2 linked regions of the Saccharomyces cerevisiae S288C genome follow. Changing the gene in region 2 together with the main gene of any one other region gives a genetic interaction. Each region holds a gene or a part of one and is shown on either strand. Other genes may lie near its edges.

What was found.
Region 1: mutations in RSF1 (region 2) and AIM45 together harm fitness more than expected from each alone (negative genetic interaction), as found in Saccharomyces cerevisiae (2 studies listed by BioGRID).

Annotation. Positions count from the first base shown.
Region 1 is NC_001148.4:560,607-568,114, forward strand, and holds AIM45 (Aim45p), read right to left. Parts: upstream 4,436-7,508; coding exon 3,401-4,435; downstream 1-3,400. Other genes in the region: YPR003C (uncharacterized protein), read right to left, coding at 898-3,162; HAL1 (Hal1p), read right to left, coding at 5,181-6,065; methylisocitrate lyase ICL2, read right to left, coding at 6,663-7,508. UniProt on the Saccharomyces cerevisiae protein: The electron transfer flavoprotein serves as a specific electron acceptor for several dehydrogenases, including five acyl-CoA dehydrogenases, glutaryl-CoA and sarcosine dehydrogenase.
Region 2 is NC_001145.3:325,875-333,958, reverse strand, and holds RSF1 (Rsf1p), read right to left. Parts: upstream 3,167-8,084; coding exon 2,036-3,166; downstream 1-2,035. Other genes in the region: EIS1 (Eis1p), read left to right, coding at 1-1,747; FAR8 (Far8p), read left to right, coding at 3,728-5,299; TAP42 (Tap42p), read right to left, coding at 5,377-6,477; YMR027W (putative methyltransferase), read right to left, coding at 6,670-8,082. UniProt on the Saccharomyces cerevisiae protein: Mitochondrial and nuclear transcriptional activator required for respiratory growth.

The DNA of each region.
Region 1 (7,508 bases), on a different chromosome or scaffold from region 2:
TGCAAGGATTGATAATGTAATAGGATAATGAAACATATAAAACGGAATGAGGAATATTCGTAATATTAGTATGTAGAAATATAGATTCCATTTTGAGGATTCCTATATCCTCGAGGAGAACTTCTAGTATATTCTGTATACCTAATATTATAGCCTTCATCAACAATGGAATCCCAACAATTATCTCAACATTCACCCATTTCTCAATATCATCACGTGCGGTCTAAGAAGATGATATGAAGATTGAGAATAGTCATCAGGTGTAATGGAAGCTAATTGCAAGGATTGGTAATTTAGTAGGATGATGAATGACAGTCACATAAGATGAAAAGGAAAACAATAATGCCATTATATCGAGAATATCGATCTCTTCGTGGATTCTTCTCATAGAGAAATTCTAGTATAATATATATACGAAATATTATGGCCTTTAACAACAATAAAATTCCAACAATTATCAACTAATTCGAACATCTCTTGACAATATACATTATTAATTTTTACATTTCGACTTTCTTTGAATTAGGGACTGTCTCTCAATTCATCTCTTTCTCATACAGAATATCACTTATCCTATATAACTTATATAAGATTAGAATCTAACTAGAGCGAGGAGAGCGGAAACTCGGATCAAAAGTGATTGTTTAAGTGTTTGTGCGTTTGTGCGGCTCATTAAGACAATAAGGTTTTGCTTTTGTATTCAATTTTGTGGGTTTTATAACGTATAAATGCGCTTCTTGAAAGCTTGTTAACGATTTTATCGTAAAGAAATAAATAAACTAAAGAATTGAGGAGACAATACTGTTTTGATAAATAAGCCCCAAAAATATTATAGGGCCGCAAGGAATAAATTTCATAATGCGCATATGCCCAGACTCCTCTGTTTCTTTCGAAGTTTTACACTAGACTTGAATTAAATAAAGTATTGGACATAAAACTCTCCGAATCATTGTTCGGGACGTTGTTCCCTTTAATTTTCATTTTCTCAATTTCATAAAGAGCCGCATCAATGCTATCGAAGTACGGAGAATATGTCTCTCCTGCATCACTAAATGTGTTGCTAGTATTATTTTCGTTGTTATTTGCTTGCGCTCTTTCCACACTAGCAGCTACACCTGCTTTGAATAATCGCCTTCTTACTTTGTCATTTATAGATACATTGACAAGGTAAATAAAGACATTGCGCCTCTTGTAACTAGTGATAATTTCCTCCAGCACTTGGGCGGCTGAAGAATCTATTGAGGTCATCCCACCTAAATCGAAAATGACATATTTTATGGAATCCTTCGAGCGAAGTGATTTCCTTCCAGGATGTATCTTAGACGAACCGTACCTCTCTATTCTGTCAAGTCTCTGTTTTAAATCTTCGCTGTTTGTAAATGTGAGAGGCTCAGGTATTCTAACAATCATGCATCCCTCGATTTCTTCTGTGCCCTCAACATCCAGAGAGTTCCTTTTCATGTTCATCATGTAGTCGTCAAGATTCGTAAAGTTCGACGTTCCCGCTACCCTAGCCAGAATTTGGATTCTTGACTTTGCTGAATGCTTTATAATATTTATAATTGAATAGACACATCCGATGCATATTCCTGCTTCGATTGAGTAAAATATTGTAGTGCAGAAGGTAACAGCAAAAACAAATAGTTCACTAAAGCCACCACATCGCAAATGGAACTTTATGTCGCCTGGCACTTCCTCTAATAAACTAATTCCGATGATGGTTGTTATGACGGATAAAACACAATTAGGAATATAATGTACGAATTGAAGAAGTAAATTCATTGTGATTAGGGTGATGACACCCATAAACACTCCCGACATTACGCTTTGTGCTCCTGATAGGGCGTTGATCTTGGATCTTCCATATCCGCCGAATGCGGGAAGAGCACCGAATAATGAGATGACAATATTCATGAATCCTAAAGCTACTAGTTCTCTATTAGAGGAAACGGTAAGATTGTAAGTTGTTCCAAGAGATTTCGACGCGGTCGTAGATTCAAAAAAACCCAACATTGCCACTATTAGAGATGCACTAAAAAGATCTGGTATTAGCTTACGTCTAGGACGAGTTAAAGGGTTTTTCAATTCATCAAAATTGTCCATGCTAAAGTCGCCAATGATAGAAATACCATATCTGTGTTTTAAATTAAATTTCATGGAAATAAGAATAGTAACAATTACCACCAATAATATATCTGGAAAAAATATTGCGCTCTTGTGATATTTCATTAATTTCCTCTTTAGTAGACGCGTTAAAAAGAGGACAATCAAGCAACATCCGCTGAATATTGCCGTTGGTATATGGTATTGTGCTGGTGCATAATCAATGAGGAAAAGTATTTTCTCGAAAGGGGTATGGTAGTGTTGAGGCAAGCTTACTAAAAATTTGTCTAGCTTTAATTCAGAAATCAAAGAGTTGATTATCATAACCAGTCCTACTGAACTTATGAAACCTCGTAGAAGTGCCTTGCTAAGAACATTTCCAAGGAAACCAAATCTGGAAATACCAGAAAAAAGTAGGATAGTGCCACTAACAAATGTTATTACTGTTGAAATATCAATTAGAGAAACATTTTCTTTATGTAGTGTTATAGATTCGACTGCTTGTCCCACGACCAAGGAAATTGCACTTTCGGGCCCAACTATCATCTGAGGAACAGAACCTAAAATACCATAGACAAATGGGCTAATAGCCAAAGAATATAGTCCGCATAAAGGTGGGACATGTGCAATTGAAGTTGTGTACGATAGCGCAAGTGGTATCTGAAATGACGCTACTGAGATACCTGCGATTACGTCGCCCCACAGTTTATTGAAAGTGTACTCAGGAAGCCATGAAAAGCAGGGCAGGTAATAAGGTAAAGTTTCAAACACTGTATTCTCATCAACGCTATCATTATTGTTCGTATTACTTGTATTACTTGTATTATTTGTATTATTTGTATTATTGGTGCATCCTGATCTTGAGTTGTTGGGTGGGGGTACCCCAGTAGTTGAATTAGATGCTGCAATATAGGTCCTGCCTCGATTGGATGAATCCTTATCATAATCAAAATTGTCCGAGAAAGTGTCACGCTGGTCGACTGATCTTTTGAATCTTGGTGGAGCGGTAGAGGAATATGACATCCTTCCACGCCCCAATAACGAATTATTTGATGTCATCCTATAATTGTTTCCGTAAGTTCTTGGAAATCACTAGGAAGTTTGTGGAGTTATTGTTCTCCTCATATTCTCCCATCTGGAAGAACTCTATTATTCCTTTGCCATTTCTCGTAGTCTTTTATATTTAGTCCGCTTTACACCGAAAAGGTCATTTTTAAAAAGGCAAGAGAACTAGGAAAAGTAAAACGTGCCCCCTTCAAAGCGAAGAGATGAATATATTTAGAAGTTAAGAATTTATTTATTTATATTTACCAAGTTTTTCAGTTAGTTCAGGGACTATTTTGTAAAGATCCCCTTGCAACCCATAGTCAGCGACATTAAATATAGGGGCATCAGGATCATTGTTAATGGCAACGATAACTTTCGAATCCTTCATTCCCGCTAAATGCTGAACTGCACCAGAAACGCCAATGGCTATATACAAATTTGGTGCGACTACCTTACCAGTCTGACCGATTTGTAGAGAATTATCACATAGTCCATTATCAACAGAAGCTCTTGTGGCACCTATAGCAGCGTGCAAAACATCTGCTAGCGGCGATAATAGCTTCTCAAATGTCTCCTTATCCTTGAGTGCCCTTCCACCAGTTACCACGTTCTGTGCAGAAGTAAGTTCAGGCCTTTCACTCTTGGTAAGAATAGTTTTAACCCAGGTAACATTTAAGTCACAAGGAGGAATATCAGTTCTCTTCTCAATGGTAACAGAATCCATACTACCCTCTGCAATTGGTGGAAAAGCTGATGCCCTAATAATCAACAGTTTTTTTTCTGCCTGGCATTCTATTGTAGAAATAATGTTACCTGCATAAATTGGCCTTATAAAGGTCTTAGGATCTTTGATTACAGTAACCTCACAAACAGGTTGGACGTCCAAGAGCGCACCCACCCGAGGTAAAACACTTTTTCCAACAGAGGAGTTTGAGACAACAAAATGTGAATAGTCGCCGCCTTTTAATAGTTTCACTAATAACGGAGTTAGTTGTTCGGGAAGACAGGTATCTAATTTTGAATCTTCAAATATGACAAGCTTTTCTAAATTGCTGCATGAATATGAAGATTTTAGCGCCTCAGCAGTTTTTTCAGCTTTGCTACCTGTGATTACAGCTGTGATAGGGTTAGACAACTTTTGTGCAGCAGCCAATAAACTCAATGATGACCTTGAAACAGAGCCATCTTTTGAGCTTTCAATGAAAGCTAAAGTGGAGGCGTAATTTTTCTGGAGGAACTTTGCCTTGCTAGCTCTAGGCAAGACAGCAGCCAATGATTTAAACATAGAAATTAACAATTAGCTGCTTTACCGTTAATGGTAGTAAATTATATCACTAGATTTTGTTTGTTGATTATTTTAATTGTTTTTAATTTTTAGTTAGTAGATTTTCGTTCGAGGCCCTAAAAATGTACCGAAAAGTCATAATAAACGGGCGGAGTCACATCGTAAGAGTAACATATACAATATGCGAGCAGACTTTGTCCATTAAGCCAAGTAACAACAAAAGAACCAAAAAAAGGAAAGTATCTCGTCTCTGTTGAGTAATTCTTATATCTTGCAAGATTTAATTCTCACTACTAATACGGAACTCAATCAAAGTGGCTTAATCCCAAGACATGCATTGAATACGGTATCATTGGCTGTTGACAGTTTAAGAAAAGTAGTTGTCACGTTCCTGAGGTTACTGGGGACAAGGGAAAGTAGATACTCGTCTTACGAAATTGGATATAGTTACTCTCTAATGCTCAATCCATGTAAAGCATGAATCATCTCAACAGAAAAATCTGGGAGAGCATATTTGCAACAAAAGAATCCAAATATCAGTATATAATTATATAAGTGAGCTAAGAAGTGAACAAAAGAAAAGGAAGAGGGGAAAAATTTTGGCTGGACTTGTAGAACGATAGAACGAAAGAGTCCAAGGGGGAAGTAATAAAGTTATTGAACGAAACAACAAAAATTCGATGGAGATATTAACAAATGCATAGCAGCGCAGCTAACCGACCCGAAGCTAGTACCAACGAATTTTTCAACTATTCTGTGTTGATTGTCTCCTTTGCAACACCGAGCTCTTCAGTATTCTCAGCTGAAAGTTATTATTGAAATCACGTTGGGGACTTTCATGATCTAGTGGTCTTGGTGAGTAGCATTTAATATTTTGACCATTGAAAGGGCATCTCTCAATTGGAGAAAGGCCACTCTTAGGGATAGGCGTTTTAACAATCTGTTTATGGGATGAATGATATATTTTTGAGGATGGATTCACGATACTGATATGTTTCCCGTCCGCATTATTCGGATATGTAGTGCCTTCTTTCGATAAAATAGATGCCAATCCTGGCGTATGCTTTGTTTCGATGACGGAGCTTACCAATTTTTCACTTCGTATTTTCGATGAGTTCTTATTTTTACATTTGACGTTCAATATTCCGACATACGTCTCTCTTTCTGAAATGTTGGAACTCTGTGGCCTTGGATTTGGTGTTTTTTCACCCGAAAAATTGTTGATAACTGCACTTTTCTTTGAGGTACTACTATTTATATCTTCCTGCTCTTTTGTTCCCCGCTTAAGATGTTTTGGATGGCAAGTTTCAATAAACTGCGGTTTTATTCCTGCTTCTGAAGAGGTGCCCGAGATGTGAACCTCATTTCCACCACTACCAGTATAAGTAAAGTAGTCCGTACCTTCTTTTCCAAAGTCATTTGAGGAATATACCAAAAAAACACCTTCCTTTACTTGAAAGCGATCCACGAATGGGAAAGTATCCCCTTCCGAAGTCACATCTGAGGGAACAAATTTTAAAACATATGAGATGTTGTTTTCATCCACGGCATCATAAAATTTACAGCAATTATTCTCATACATCAAGTTTTTGAGAGTGTAGTCATGCAATCCTAAATCTTTGAAATGCATCTGATCTATTTGTTTCTGTATTTCTCTTTTCTTGAGTTATATAAACGGAATGATTAGTAGTTTGGCAGAATTTATAGCAAGTATTAAATAGTTGAATACCTCAATATTCTCCATAATAAACGCCATATCGTACATAAAGGCTAAAACAAGAATGCCTGATACCGTTCTGCTTTTTGTTTTATCTTTCCCTATATTTTCTTTCCCTTTTGATGCTTTACGTAATTTTTCCCGGCATATGTGAGCTTCCTAATAGACTCTATTTTTATTTTTCCCTTTCAAAGTGCGAGAGAAATACACACAACCAGCCTACGCTTATTTTCACCCATACCGTCATACGCCATATGATATATAATGTGAAACAAACGCGGGGAAGAGCGCGACACGACAGCTTAGCAGGGGCATTCCACGCAACACCTGAAACTTTAAGTAAAACTGTTTCTGCGAGGATATCTTGGCAAAACAAACACTAACTTTCGAACTAAATATAGTGATCGTGGTCATAAATTAATAAAAAGAGGATAAATAGAGATAAAAGAGATATGTGACTAAGTTGCTGGCAATATGTATTATTTATACTTTTATCTTCTTGAAGCGTATTCAAAATTGCGTTTCGGTAAAGCTCTCACCAGATGTACTTAAAGTTTGGGATGAAGCACCGTTTTGGACAACTTTCATTAAGGAATCAACATATTCTGCACCAGACCATAGCTGGTGTGTCATGATATCACAATTAGTCTCCTTTTCCCGTTTTTGCACTTTTTCGACGTATGCTTTCATTCCGTCACTTTGGAAGCTATTGGCTAATTCCCAGAATGATACTCCATCTGAATGCAGACCGGCAAGGGAAACCAGTTGCAACGTGAAGCCTTCTTTTGCCAAGTCCCATACGAAGGATTTTAATGCCTTATCATCAAAGCCGTGAGCGCTCCAATTGAAACTAGGAGATAAGTTATATACTAGCTTGGTAGCTGGAAGTTGTTTATGAATTTTTCTTGAAAATGAGCGTGCCTGCTCCAGGTCAGGAGTTTTCGTTTCCAGCCAAATCATATCAGAATATGGGGCAAACACCAAAGATCTTCTAATAGCTGCTTCAATACAACCGTTAAACATGTAATATCCCTCTTTGGTCCTCGGAGCATCCCAGTCAAATATAATTTTCTTTAGTGGTGTCACTTCTTGAGCTAAAAGTTTCATTTCTCTTAAGCTTAGGTATGCTCTACCCAGCTTGTTTACCATAAGGTCTTCCTTCTTTTCTTTATAGCTTTCAAACTCGCTTGCCGTAAACTGCTTTTCTAAGGCCTCTTCAAATGTAAACAGCTCATTTTCATGGTACCATTCTTTTTCCATGTCAGCAATGGCGGAGTTGGGAATTTTTTTGTCCTCCATCTCAATCAATTTTTCGCTCCAAGGCACCACGTTATCTCTTATTATACCCCTAATGAA
Region 2 (8,084 bases):
TGATGCTCCAAAAGCACAAGATTTACAAAAGGTCAAAAAAGTTTCTGCTGAGAAAGAAGCCAAGTCGATGAAATTTGCATTAGGAGCTGCTAATGCTGTGAAAGACATGCATCCTGGTGAGGATATCGACAAAAGTATAGCTCTTAAGGCGCAGAAGAGGGAAACCTATCTGAGCCAATTAACTTCTCAGCAAGTTTTGACTTTGGCAAGAGCCAATGTTGACAGACAATTGGATATCATTGAAAAAAGCGATATGCATAGAAAGCTATTCACTAATATGGAATACAACAAAGCTGCTGTCGCTGTCGCACAGTCTAATCATCAGAAAAAGACAGAATTCCATAACAAGATTAACATGGGTGGTGGCCTGTTTTTGTCACCAGAAGATATCACTAAAATCGCATCCGGATTGATTTCTCCTGTACTTGGTGAAGTGAGTGAGAGGGCGGAGGCGCAACGTGCTATGGATGAAGAAATTGCAGAAAGAACTGAGGCCTATAATAAATCATCAAATGAATGGGAAACGATGGAACGTTCTATCATTTCTAATGACGCCAAAGTATTGACTACTACGGCTAATAGGCATCAAACCGAAAAAAAGACCTCCCAGGAAAAGATTAAAGCCAGCTTTGATGCACTTGTGGCCAGAATGGATACCAAAGTCGCTGAAAGGGAAACTCTGCTTGAAGATACCAAGAGCAAAGAGATCGAATTTAAAAAGCAAATGCAGCAAGAGTTAAAGGACGAAAAAGCTCGTCTAGATCAAGATTTGGAGGAATGGGGTAAGAAATGTGAACAAGATATCACTGAAGCGCGCAAAGAGCAAGAAGAACTATTGAAACCTTACCATGACGATCTGGCAAATGCAGAAGCGGAACACAAAACTTTAGTGGAAGAGCGCGATGAAATTAACGCAGAAATCTCAAGATTGCAGGATGCTATAGTTGACCATAAAAGAAAGATCTCTGGTTACGGAAATGATCTTGACGCCCAGAAGAATAGAAATATCAGAGAGGATGACAAATTACTGGAACTAGGTCAAACTAAAGAAAGCTTGGAATCCCATTTGAATGATGACGTTATTATTCTTGCTAATAAGGCTAAAGAGCAGGCTGAGTTATCAACCAAGGAGGCCCGTCTGAAGCAATTGGAAGTGGATTCGTTGATTAACGAACGTAAGAGCGAGTTGAACGCGACCGAAATCGAGTTAAAGAAGGAAAAACTAAATTTGTTGGAAGCTATGAAAGATGTTGCTTCTGCACGTGGCGATGATAAGATTGACGAAGAGAAGGTTAAAAAATTGATTGGTATGACTTCTGAGGAGTATTTAACACAAAACAAATCCGTCGAGAAAAATGTTGAAGATTTACCAACCCAACTTGAAAAAATAGAGGAAGGTGATGAACTAAAGAAGGAAGAGATAGTGGGAGCCGAAACGAAAAATTCAGGTGGTGATGGGGTTCCGGTGAGTACTGCCGCAAAAGAAGCTACCGAAACTAGTTCTGCTGTTCAAACAAAGGAACCTGAAGAAAAAATTTCGATCGGAAATAAATCAAGTGGAAAAGAAGACGCTAATGATTGTAAATCAGCGGAGCATTCAAAAGAAATCTCGGTTTCACAGAAAGCAGGAAACAATAAATCATTGGGAGTTAGCCCTGATAGTTTGGAACATACATTTAGTGGCTTTTCACAGGGTTCTTCGATCGAAGACGATCAGGATGCAATTAGTAATCAAGAGAAAAAATAATTGCTAGTGAGCCTAGATAACGAAGAAATGGTGCGGCTAAGATATTGAACAGTTGAGTGGGATACTACAGAATTTTGATAATTAAGATAGTTCTCATCTGCGCTTTAATTATTCTTTTTATGTGTATAATATATGTTTATTGCCTTAATTTAAATTTAATATTTGTATTTTCTTTTTTTTGTTTAATTTGATTACTTTTGCTTATGAAATAGTATATATGGTTGTTTTACTTTTTTTTTTATTTATTTGATCTAAGTTTTATGTATGCAGATTAAAAGCAAGTTTTAATTAATTGGTATGTTGGTTTTGATTATGATTATGAGGAGTACCGCTATTGCTATTGTTTAAATTACTACTGTTGTGTTCCAGTTCATTCACGCCTGGATCAGTTTTGAAGTATACTTCATCCGGCAAAGTATCTGTTGAAATTATTGAATATTTGATGAGCCAATTTCTCATTGGTTGGTAGTCTAAAACAGAAAACGGAATGTTTAAATCGATAAGAATCTCTATCAAGTCGTTCATGGCTATTTTCGATTGAAGTTCTCGAACATTTTGCTGTTGGACCTGGTGGTTGATGAGGCTCGATCCGGTTTCAGGATGATTTCCGTTGACGTCCCCTTTTTTCTTCTTTTTCTTCTCTTTGAATTTGGCATCTGGTTCAACAAGTAAATCACGCATCAATCTAGATTGATAGTCATAGCATTCCTGGAAAAGTGGAGAATTATGATCAAAAAATTCGGTAAAATTATTTGGTGTTAGCTGGACATCGTGAACTTTACTCAAATGTCTTTGATACTTTCTAGAACCATGCTTCTCTCTACTGTTCTTATCTTTCCATATCATTTCTTGATTGCAAATTCGCTTGGTTCTACGGTCATAAAATTGGCAATATGTGTTGATAGTTAGAGGTGATTTAGCAAATAATAGTTTAGATAGATGGTTTCCCTTAATATCTCTTCTCTTGGGAATGGGAAGCTCCAAAGTTTTCATAATGTCTGATCTAAAATTTAGTGTTTCTGAAGACAGTAGCTGCATATTATTCTCTATGAAATCTACCACTTGTTGCTGTTGCCGTTGAACTGCATATTTAGAATCCTTTGTGCTATTCGATTCAATAGTTCCCAGAGGAAGCGACTCATCATGAGTAACGTTGACAGGAGATGACTTGGCAGATACGGTAGCAGAAGAAAAATCTGGCGAGAAGTTCTCTTTTTGCAAATAATCCGGTACCATATTCATATTAAGTATCCTTGGAGTTTCCATCTTGTTGGGCGCCAGATACATCTCCTCACGAGGAGTCCCACTACGGTTGGCAGGAAAATTAGGCAGTGTCGCTATATCAACCATGCCTCTATTGTCTTGAGGAGGGCCTTTAGTGGTAGCAAATTTCCCCATTTCTGGATTTAGGTCCTTCATAACTGCTTGTAGTTCTATCTCCTTGTTTTCGAATAGCTTCTCAGAAAGTAAAAAAAAGGATAATATTACAGTTTTTGATCTACAGAGTCCCTTTTTGTACCCCTCCACTCAAATCGTTCTGATACGTACGTCTCTAGGTGTCAGATGATGGAGTAACTTGCAGATGTTTTACATGCGTTTCTTTTGGTTTACGCGATAATAGTTCCTTATTAAATGTCAAGAAAGTGCTAGTTGCTTCAGTTGTTTTAAGATTGATCTCCACTCTCTGCGTCTTCACATGCGCGGGACAACTTTACAGGAAAACAAGGTTTAAGAGATAACCTATTCGGGTTTTACGTAGGATGATCTATTATAGTCTATTCAGTTTTTACTGCTGCACCATCCCCTAGGCTTCTTTGTTGGGATATGGTATAGTACTCTATTGGTCTTAACTTTGCGATCTTCCCCGTCGCGTAATCTTAGATAAAAGCCACCTAGAACGACTAAATGTGAGGAGCAAGCAACAACATTAATAAAGAAACCCAAAAGAAGTAAGTGCGTGTAGTTAGACCGGAAAACAATATGGCTATTAACCAGGCACATGTTCATCCGCATTACACGTTACCTGGTGTAATGCACTACTTGCAAACGGAGTTCACGAAGAATGAAAGAGATAGAATCACCTGGGAGCTAGAAAGGTCGGAAATGAAAGCAAGAATTGCAGAACTAGAGGGCGAAAATAGAGATTTGAAGCATCAATTGAATCAAATACAATCGAAAGCTGTTTCTCCTGAAGGTGAAAAGGAAGAAAAACATGTGCCTGATTCATTACTGCAGTCTAAGCTAGCTGTTCAAGAAAATGTGAAGGAAATAATTTATTTGTTGAAAGGCCCTAACACGGTCAATCAGTTAGAGTCATTAAATAGCAGAGAAGCGGGTTCTGAATTGCACGATTTAGAGAAACTGAACGTGAATACTCCCAAGGAAGAGGGCAGTGCGAAGACAAATGGGATGGATATTTTAAATAATGCCCTCTTGGACACCAAACCCAATCCAAAGCAAGGTCCTTCAGAGTCACCATCACCAACCAAAGTGAAATCTTTGTTTAGCACAGCCAACAAGCGTGAAAATAATGAAACAATATCCAAGATACACTCGGAATTGTCGAAAGTCGACATTATCAGCTCCTACGGGGACTGTATGGCACTTTATGATGCAGACACCAAATCGTTAGAAATACACCAAGTGGACGCAAACTTGAATTCCAAACTCTTAAAGAAAATATCTTTAGGGCAAGATAGCGACATTATGAAATTTTTCTGGGTTTCGACGTCCAAACTCCTTGTTATTGAAAAGAGTTTCCATTTGAAATTGTTCTCTATTTCTAGCGCATCTTTGATCTCAGATGTGGACCTATTACAAGACTCAGAACAGCCGTTTTCGTCTAGTGATATCATTAATATAGACTTCAAAAATAAATGGTTGTTGATAGCTAGTAAGAATAAATCTCAAATTAGAATCTGGGAATTGGACAATATAGAGGCTCCTGAGGATGTCCCAATTAACATAAAAGAAACATATGAAATAACACATGATAATGATGACGATGATAGTAATGATTCCACAAACATTCTGGATTGTATATTGGGTATAACAGAAAAATCCTTAATATTACTGTCTTCAAATCCATACCAGCTTACCATATATGATTTCGAGGGTAAGCTTCTACAAAAAATTGATTTGAAGATTGATACAATATTATCGGGTAAGCCAGAAGAAGAAGGTTACCATTTATTTTTGGATAGAAAAACTTCTAAGCTACTGATTCAGCTAAGCAATGAGAGATTATTGGTTTATTCTTTTGATAAGAAAAAAGTTGTACTGAAGGAACAATTGACTCCATCGTCAACACTACCAATACAACTCGATTTGAACGACAGCATAATCACCGTATCATATAGTAATGGAGACTTTGAGTTTAGGAATTTAGAAAACCTAAAACCATCCATCGACGAATTTGTCGTAGCAGACATCAACTTCTCGGAAAGAAAAGAGCCTGTGGTATTTTCTTCAAATCTGATTGTAGATTCTACGCCGGTGTTAATCACCGTGAATAAAAATAACGAAGTCCTTTTGCACAAGATTAAAATATAACTGATGTAGGCAGAAAAAAAAATAATATATGAATCTGTCTAATAGATACTTATGTGTACGTATATAGGTATTTTTTTCTATCCTCTATTCATGGTATTTCCGCTTCCCTTAGCATGACTTTCCTTGAACTCGTCCCACTCACGAGCTTTATAGGTTTCTCTATCTTGCCAGTCCATGTTTTCTTCATCTGGTGCTTGCTCTGGTTCTTCGCCACCTTGAAGAACGCGACCTTCTTCAAACTCTTTATCTAAAAATTCCTCCACCGACATTGTTGGTCCATATTGACCATATCCTCGCACTTTTTGTTGCAGTTGTTGCCTTTTGTCGACAAGCGTGAAGTTCCTCAAGACTTGACCTTTTTTGTCTATCAATGGCTTATTTATATTCTCTAATTTATCGGTAAAACCAGTGGAATCATCATCATTCGATTCTTTTCGTATCTGAGTACCTGATGATTTGACTTCATGTACGGAATTTTTGAGGAAATTAGAGAGCATTTCACATTCAAATAAATTCTGTTCAATGTTGTTAATCGTATCAAGACTAAAGTGATGTAACCTCATCAAATATAGTTCTCTTAGTAATTCATCATGGTCGTGGTCCTCGTCGTTGTTTTTTAATTCCAACTCCAAGCAGTGCAGTTTTGTGCTAATTTCTTTATTGCGCTGGAATAGCTCAATCTTTTCTTTTCTCTTCAACTGTGCTCCAGATAAATCTTTGTTATTTTTTGGTTGCGCGTACAATTCGCTAAGCTGAGGGTTATAACGATCCTTGAAGTTACCTAGTTTTTCACCAACCAAAGGATCTAGAAGCTTATAATCCTGCAATAGTGTCAGGAAATTAATGAAAGATTCAACGCTTTTTTTCAGGTAAATCAATTTCATAGACTGCCTTTGAGCAACATCCGAATCATTCGACTGTCGTCTTGATATCAATAATCCTAAATAGTAATCAACTGCTAGAAATTTGATGGAAGCAGTAGACACATCATCAATGGTCTCATTAGTACTGAACAATGCCAACCTGTCAAAAATTGCTGTTTTTAAGTTTAATAATTTCTTGATCGTGGAAAGTAATAATCCCTGGTACTCTGGTGAATCTTGCCTCAAAGATGTGTGTTCCAATTTTGTTGAGTATAAGCTAATAATATCGTTGAATTGTTCTGTTACTGACGCCATGTTTATGATCTCTCCTCGTTATTACTTTCTTCCTCTTCTTTCGCCATTGATTGTAATTTGTCCTTAGGAGCTTTCTTTTTTTTATCAGAAGTACATAAAATAAAAGGCACGTACTAAAAATCTATGTGCTTTTTTGGAACATTTCATAGGGAAAGTCATAAAGTAAAGTTATATAGAGAACTTATCATATTCTTATTTATGTATACCAGAGCAGAAACAAATGACTGCCCATTTACCGCTACAACACCACCAAGAACCACGGCCAGGATTTTCCTTTTCCCATTCTTGACTTAATTTCGCGTCTAGACCTTCAGGTAAAGCAACTTGTACATCGGCTTTACAGGTTCTCAAGCTCAATGATGTAATACCATTCGTAGCAAGAGGTCCGATAGCCGTTTCCCATTTAGTGGTGCGGGGCCATTTTCTGTCGCCAGTTAATTTTCTATAGTTTAGATCACCCTTAAAAATAACCAAATTGGATTTTTGCAAATCTTTGTGCAAAATGGATCCATGGTATTTGGTTTCGTTTGCGTCCAAATTCCAATAATCTAATTCCGTGGTCCAGAAAGAATCTTCGCGGAATTCTATCTTACCGCTAGAGACGAACTTTTCCATTTCACCAGCAAATAAATCAAGAGCTCTGGATTCCTTTGTCGAGGGTTCACCACTTGGGAAGAACTCACGATCTCTCAGGTCATGAACTAATATATCAAAATCTTTTAACATAACATCGCTAACCATGTATGGAATGTCTTTAGCGTGGAAAATACATTTGGTAGCCAAACCACTTTGTAACAGAAAAGCTGCCAACATCAAGTCAGCATACAATTCAAAGCCAGAATTGTCTAATACAAAATCAACACGAATTTCTCTGCTATTGGCATCGGCCCTGGCTTTGGTTAATACCTCCCATGCTTTCTCCGTGTCATTAACAACAATCTTGGACTCGGATGCAGCTCTTGCTTTCGCCCCTTGGATTGATTTAATGTCTTCTAACGTAGCGTTGGTCAATAAAGATAAATCAGTGGCATTGCCCCACAAAGAAATCTCAATAAACTCTTTAAAAAGAACTTTCAATATATCGTCAATCTCATTTCCTGGATTTTGCTTCATTTCTCTCAGCTGTGGTAACAGATTTTCATACCTTAACGCCAATTCCACGACACCATAAAACGAGGACTCAAAAGTTGACTGTTTAAGTCTGTTGAATATGTCAAATTTAGCCCATTCGCATTGGCGTTGGAAAAGAACATTTACTCTTCTATACAAGTAAACCTCCGAGAACAGCCACTCTACAGCCCCCCAATTGACTTCAGGGTGTTTCTTTAGATATTCATTGAACGAAAGCGGGACGTTGGCAATTTTGATCTCTTCTTCAGTAAAGGGTCTCAAAGGTACACGATCAATTATCTCCTGACGGAATTCCTTGAGCTCCTTTTTGATAACTTCACCTTGTTCGAACTTAGTGCCGTTACTCTTCTCCGTTTCTTGATGCTTACTTAAATCGTCTATAGCATTCTGAATGATAATGGGCCAACGGGTGCTAGCAGTGTATTCACCAAAAGTGCCCTTATCAATTGTCATAAATCTTCCAGGGATAGTCATCT